2 linked regions of the Canis lupus familiaris genome follow. The protein of the gene in region 2 purifies or fractionates together with the protein of the main gene of each other region. This does not show direct contact. Links are inferred from orthologs where the notes say so. Each region holds a gene or a part of one and is shown on either strand. Other genes may lie near its edges. The genes, in order: SQSTM1 and RAD51.

Evidence for each region.
Region 1: the proteins of RAD51 (region 2) and SQSTM1 purify together in Homo sapiens (affinity purification with western blotting; 3 studies listed by BioGRID). This does not show direct contact. The link is inferred for Canis lupus familiaris from reciprocal best matches to the Homo sapiens genes RAD51 and SQSTM1.

What each region holds. Positions count from the first base shown.
Region 1 is NC_049232.1:2,132,688-2,136,932, forward strand, and holds the start of SQSTM1 (sequestosome-1), read right to left. Parts: upstream 2,858-4,245; 5' UTR 2,828-2,857; coding exon 2,617-2,827; intron 1,934-2,616; exon of another isoform or gene 1,816-1,933; intron 1,230-1,815; coding exon 1,134-1,229; intron 599-1,133; coding exon 369-598; intron 272-368; coding exon 130-271; intron 1-129. UniProt on the Homo sapiens protein: Molecular adapter required for selective macroautophagy (aggrephagy) by acting as a bridge between polyubiquitinated proteins and autophagosomes.
Region 2 is NC_049251.1:8,161,358-8,163,995, forward strand, and holds the end of RAD51 (DNA repair protein RAD51 homolog 1), read left to right. Parts: intron 1-133; coding exon 134-247; intron 248-839; coding exon 840-969; intron 970-1,164; coding exon 1,165-1,286; intron 1,287-1,736; coding exon 1,737-1,860; 3' UTR 1,861-2,047; downstream 2,048-2,638.

The sequences.
Region 1 (4,245 bases), on a different chromosome or scaffold from region 2:
GCTGAGGATTAAGCGCCCCGCCCCCCCCCCAGCCACAGGCTCAGCAGCCACGCAGAACATGGGAAAGGCCCTCCAGCTCTCCCAGCCCTGACAGCTCCCGCCACAGTAGCCCACAAATGCAAGCCTCACCTGATTCTGCCGCAGGGCCAGGGCGGGCATCCCCAGCCCGGGGAGGACGCGGGCTCCAGTTCCCTGGTGGACCCATCTCCCAGCCAGGCCACCCAAAGTGCCCGTGTTTCAGCTTTCGGAGCCAGCGGCTATGAGAAAAGCCCTAGAGAGGAGGTAGCAGAGGGGTAGAGTGACACCAGAACAGAGCATGCCTCCCTGCACCCGGTGCCCACCCCAGCCTGGAGAGAAGCCCCACTCACCTCTGAGAAGGGCCCGAAGGTGCCGGGGAAGACAAGCTTGCTATGCTCCCGATGCAGGCCCTTTCCCTCACAGGCAGCACACAGGTCATAGTCCGGGCAGACGCTGCACTTGTAGCGGGTCCCCACCACTGGCCCATTGCAACCGTCACAGATCACATTGGGGTGCACCAGGCCACGTGGTGCCTCCTGAGCGCATGGGGGGCGGTGGTCCCGCCGACACTCCTTCTTCTCTACAGGGAGGACAAAGAGCCATGAGGTGGGACCCTGTAAGTTTCCCATTTGTCACCACTGTGGAGCTTGTAGGTAGCAGGACCCCTGGCCCTGCTCTCCAGACACAGAGTCCATGCAGAACTCAGCCATTGGAGGGACAGCAACAAAGGGACCCAAGAACCTGCTGGGAGGGTCCCAGTCCCGTGCCTGTTATCCAGGTACATGTGGCCCAGGCCAAGTGACAAGCAGCAGGGAGCTGTGTCTGTACAGCTTTGGCCCTGCCCCGTGTTAAAATAAACCCCCATGGTATCCCCAAAGCTGCCCCCTCCTACCCCCTTAGTCTGGGCACAATCAAGAGAGAACCCAGAGATCCTCAGGCCCCACCCCTTGTGGTCGTTGGGATTCCTTTCTCAGGCCAAGCACAGAGGTGATTCTGTCTTAAACCACTCCCAGGTTCTTCTCCACTACTTTGAAGGGATTTCTCCAAAACCTCAAAACAGGTCTTACTCAGCAAGAAGCATCCAGCTTCAGGCAGCACCCAAATCAGACCTTTACCTTTAATGTAAATGCGGAAGATGTCATCCTTCACATAGGACATTGCCATTGTCAGTTCTTCATCACTGGAAAAGGCAACCAAGTCTCCATCCTCATCTAGATTATTTAAAAGACAGCACGTGAGCACCCAAGGTTTCTCTGTGGGACACAAGCTACTGAAAAGTGCTAGAAGGGTATCCACGGGCCTAGGAACCGAAGCACACCTGCGTGAGCCAGTGGGCAGCAGGGCTGAGGCCAGATTGCCTGTTCATTGTGCCACTGCCTACAAGTTAAGTCCTCCAAGTTGGGCCCTGGGCACCCAGAGGACACAGAGCATGTTTGTGCAGGGGCAACTGGCTTCCTGCCACTCTGCCTCTGAGCCAGCTGCCACCTCCATGCACATCTGATCAGGCCTGGGCCCAGACCCATCTTCAACTGTAGGAGATCCTCACCTATGACCCCTCCAAAGGCCTTGGGCCTCCTGTGGTTTAGGAGAATCAAGCAGATGAGTACATCTGCCCCCAACGAAGCTAAAGTATTCATATATACTCTTTGATTTTTAATTGTAGATTTAGCAAAGGATGTTAAAGTACCACCATGCAGGCTGAACCAGCTCTGTGGGCCACTGGATGCAATAGCCACCATAAAAACAGCCACCATAAGAACAATGGCAGTGTCAGAACGTGATAACCCAAACACTCACCAACTAACGAGTGGATAGAGAATGTAGTATGTCCAGAAAATGGAATGTTATTCACCACAAAAAGGAATGAAGTACGGACATATACAAGGACGCAGGTAAACCTTGAAAATGTTATGCTGACTACAAGAAGCCAGTTACAAAAGAATATGTGAGATTGGGGTGCCACATATACGTCTACACGGACCGTCCAGAATAGGGACCTCCACAGAGAAAACTAAGCAGCAGAGTTCCTTTCCCAGGTGAAGCAGAGCTCCTTCCTACGCCTGTGAGCACGGATGCACGAGTCTCTCACAACTGTTCACGTTAAAGGGACGAAGTACATGGGACGTGAACTACAGCTCCATAAAGTCGTCACAAAAACAAACCAGGAGCTGGTCTGGCCAGCCGGCAGCGCTCCTGAGGGAGGTCCCGGCACTGCCCCTCCCAGGGGCCGGCCTTGGCTGCCCGCCTCGCCCCCGGCCGCAGCCGCGCGGCACCCCGCACCCCACCCCCAGCGGCCGCCGGGCGCACCGCGCGGCCAGAAACGCAGCGAGCTCCCGCCGGCGGACAACCTCCGCGCTCGGGCCGGCCTCCCGCGCACCCTCGGGGCCACCCCACGCAGCCCCCGCCAGCCCCGATCGGCGGCAGCCGGGGCGAGCCGAACTGGAGCGCGAGGTCGCCGGGACCTGCGACGTCACGGCGGGGTGGGGGAGGGGCGGCGCCGAGCGCCCCGCCCCCGCCCCGACGCCCGCCCCGACGCCCACCGGACAGCCGCCCCGACGCCCGCCCCGACGCCCGCCCCGACGGCGCCGGCCCGCTCACCGCGGTAGTGCGTCTGGAAGCCGCCGGGACGCAGCACCGGGAACAGGGCGGCCACCCGGCTCAGCAGCCTCTCGCAGGGCCCGGGCCCGGCCGCCGCCTCCGCCTCCATCTCCGCCTCGGGCTCGGGGCCGAAGCAGAAGCTGAAGCGGCGGATTTCGCGCGCCGCGTCCTCCTTGCCCAGAAGGTAGGCCTTCACGGTGAGCGACGCCATCGCGGCGGGCGGCGGGCGGCGGGCGGCGGGCGGCGGGCGGCGGGCGGCGGGCGGCGGAGCGGCGGAGCGGCGGGGCCGCGGCGGCGCGGGGCGCGCGGCTTTTGTAGAAAACGAGGGAGGCCACGCCCTGGCCGCCTCCGGGGGCGGAGCTCCGCGCCGCGGCCCGCCCCCCGCGCCCCCGCCCGCGCCGCCCCGCGCGAGCCGCCCTGCCGAGGCCCCAGCTCGCTGCCCCCTCCCCTCCGTCGGCCCCTCCCTCCGCTCTCGGCCCTGGGTCTCCGGCGCCCCCTGTGGCCGACCCCCCGTTACTGTCCTCGGGGCCCCCGGGGCCCCCGGGGCCGGCCGCGGACGCTGCCGGCACCTGGGGCTGGGCTCCTGCCGCCTCCCCTGCAGGGAAGCCCCCCCAGGGGTCCTGCCCCAGACCCCTCCCGGGCCTGGCCCTGGCCGTGACTCAGCAAAGCCGAACGGAGGCCGCCGGGGATGCCTGAGGCAGGAGGGGGGCGGGGGTCAAAGGGGCCCAACGCACGGGCTCCTGAGGTGCTCTCCTGTCCGTTGGAAGCACCTGGCTGTGCGGGTGGCCGCCTGCTCCACCGCCCCCAGCATCCTCCATGACGGCCACTTCCTGGGTTGAGGGACGCAACCAGGGCCTGAGCAGACTTGGGCCTGAGCATCAGAGGACCTCCCAGTGTAATGGGGGGAAGGTGGGAAGGTGCCTGAACTGTACAGGGTCCTCTCACCCTCGCCTGGCCAGAGGGCCAGCCAAGGCTTCCTGGAGCCTCGCTGGGCATCAGGTGTTCGGTACAGTCCAACAGACTCCCCATGGGCAGCCAGTCACCCACCTGTCTACACAGAGTTCACTGCAGCAGGTGGTGCCCAAAAGGGCCTGTGTGGTCTCAGGCCTCTTGGCCTCGTGGGCATCCCAGAGGTCAGACCAATAGCCCTCCAGCTATTGGTAACCAAGTAACACTGCTTTATGTGACAAAACCCACCTGTTCACAGGTCTGGAGGAAGGTGGGGGAAGGGTACATTACCCTATGAAGTCTCCCAGGTGGGGTCCTAGGAGTAGAAGTCAGACTTGCAGAGTCAACGTTATGTCCTCTCATGGTGGGGTTTGTGGGAACAGGGAAAACCTCAAGAAATGGGAACCCCAGAAGGGAAGGGTGGGTGGACTTTGCTCTCCGATCGGATGGGAAGGCGATTTGCTTATGGGAACACAGCAGGGACCTGTCTCCACAGGTGTGGCTAGTGCTTCCCCAGGGAGGTGGGGGCTCCAGAGTATGCATACCCAGCCCAAGCAACCCTTTACAGAGGCCGTACTCTCTCAGGCCCCTCCCTGTGTCGTGCCTGGGAAGGTGACCCAGTGCCCATTGCCCTGCAGACAGGGTCAGAGGATGGACCAAGGCAGTGCTGGGCAGAGGCTG
Region 2 (2,638 bases):
CAGGTGCCCCGGGAATTAGTATTCTTTAGCCTTAACAATTCTTACCTAATCAAGCAATGTCTTTGCTAGAGAATAATTTCCAGTCTGCCTGAGTTTTCATTACAGTCTAAAAATGTTCTGTATTTTCTTCTAGATATGGCCTCTCTGGCAGTGATGTCCTGGATAATGTAGCATATGCTCGAGGGTTCAACACAGACCACCAGACCCAGCTCCTTTATCAAGCATCAGCCATGATGGTAGAATCTAGGTATGTGCTCAGTAGAAGACACTGAATATGGCCTAGAGCCCTTAACCCTAAGTCTTATGTAGACTATTTGGCCAAATTGATAACTTGAATTAGAAATGGGAAGATTAAGGGGGTGCCTGGGTGGCTCAGTTGGTTAAGTGCCTGCCTTCAGCTCAGGTCATGCTCCTGGAGTCCTGGGATTGAGCTCTGGATCCAGCTCCCTACTCAGCAGGGAGTCTACTTTTCCCTCTCCCACTTCCCCTGCTTGTGCTGTCAAATAAATTTACCAAAAAAAAAAAAAAAAAAAAAAAAAAGAAAGAAAAAAGAGAAAGAAAGAAAGAAATGGGAAGATTTAAGTTTTGGTCCTTCTTAGTCTGACACTGTTGTGTTGGGGTTCGGGTCAAGTCACTAAGAAATGAAGCCGTAATTCTCTTGAACTGGTTGAAAATTTTACTTATTATATAGTGCCTCAGACATGAATGCTGTACAAATATTTTAATAAAACATTTATGTATGAGTGTAACTACGAATATGAAAGTTTAAGGTACTGAGAAAGGGAGCACAATCTGACACAGGCTCGAAATAGGCTTCATAGAGTCCTTGTTTCCTATAGGTATGCACTGCTAATTGTAGACAGTGCCACTGCCCTCTACAGAACAGACTACTCAGGTCGAGGGGAGCTTTCTGCCAGGCAGATGCACTTAGCCAGGTTTCTGCGGATGCTTCTGCGACTTGCTGATGAGGTAAGTTGGGGAATGGGGACAGAGAATGCCCAATTTTCAGGGGCCTTGCTGGGAGGCCAGAACGTCAGAGCCTAGTGTCATAAAGATAACAGATATGAAGAGATATATTAATCATTCATTACTTTGTGGAGAAAGGGGTGGCAGCAATAAGGTCCTTTGGCCACAAAAAAATGACATTTATCCTTTCTCTGTCAGTTTGGTGTAGCAGTGGTAATCACCAACCAGGTGGTAGCCCAAGTGGATGGAGCAGCCATGTTTGCTGCAGATCCTAAAAAACCTATTGGAGGAAATATCATTGCTCATGCCTCAACAACCAGGTAAAGTGATGGAATAGGAGACTTTGTCTTGGAATGTCATATTAATGAAAGTAGACATGAAGATACAGCATTTCCATTTAAAACCAGTTAAAGCTATGTTTGTATAATTAGACCCAGGAGTCCCTGGCTAGACAGAACTGTCATGCTCTGGTTAGTGTGTATGTTTGCTTTTAGTTTATAAAGGAATTAAAAGCCCTCAAATATGCAAGAATGAATATGAAGGATATCCCTCTCCCTTATTAAGAAAGTAATTGTTTCAATATGGAAAATCCACTAAGGGGCGGGCGGGCAGAGTAGGCGTGGATTCCTCCAGGTTGGAAATACCCCTAAAGAATACAGAAAGATTCCCCCAAAGTCCTAAGAAGTATTTAAGTCTGAAGAAGTTTAGATCTACCATGAATAGGAAAAAGATTTTAAAATTATAATAACTGGTCTGTCTCTTTGGGTCAGGCTGTATCTGAGGAAAGGAAGAGGGGAAACCAGAATCTGCAAAATCTACGACTCTCCCTGTCTTCCTGAAGCTGAAGCTATGTTTGCCATCAATGCAGATGGAGTGGGAGATGCCAAAGACTGAAGCATTGGGGGTTGTCCTGTGAGAAACCTTAAGTGCTGCAGCCTAATGAAGAGGACTGCTCCCTGGGGTTCTTCATAGGCCTCTTCCTGTTGTGACTGCCAGAAAAAGGCTTCTGGAAAACCGGTTATTGTATCGGCTTTTCTGATGGTATTAACAGGAGACAGGTCAGTAGTCACAGACTGATCTGAAATGTTTATTCCGACTGAAGCGTATTGATTTCTATGTGAATTATTTCAGGGGAAGTAAGGAATACCTTTGACATAGTGCCTTGGGGTTGATTCAGGACTAACAGCTACCTACTGGCCAATCTTTGGTTTTCTTGCAGACATAAGCTGGGAAGACTGGATTCTTTTCTGTTTGGGTAATGTTAAAATGCCTAAGTGGCAAAGAAAGTGGGTCTCCTCACAGGTTCTTTTTCTTCTGCCAGTAAAACTCTTTCCATCAGAAGCAGGTTAAGTTAGTTTGCCTGAATTATCTTAGGTAAAAGTTTGTTTTTATTTTTTTTTTTTTTTTTTTTTTTTTTTTAAATGATAGTCACAGAGAGAGAGAGAGAGAGGCAGAGACACAGGCAGAGGGAGAAGCAGGCTCCATGCACCGGGAGCCTGATGTGGGATTCGATCCCGGGTCTCCAGGATCGCGCCCCGGGCCAAAGGCAGGCGCCAAACCGCTGCGCCACCCAGGGATCCCTAAAAGTTTGTTTTTAGTTAAGGGCTACAGAACAAGCCTACTGGGCCATCAGTCCGTTACCGTCTACTTGCTTGGTTTTTTAACTACTAAG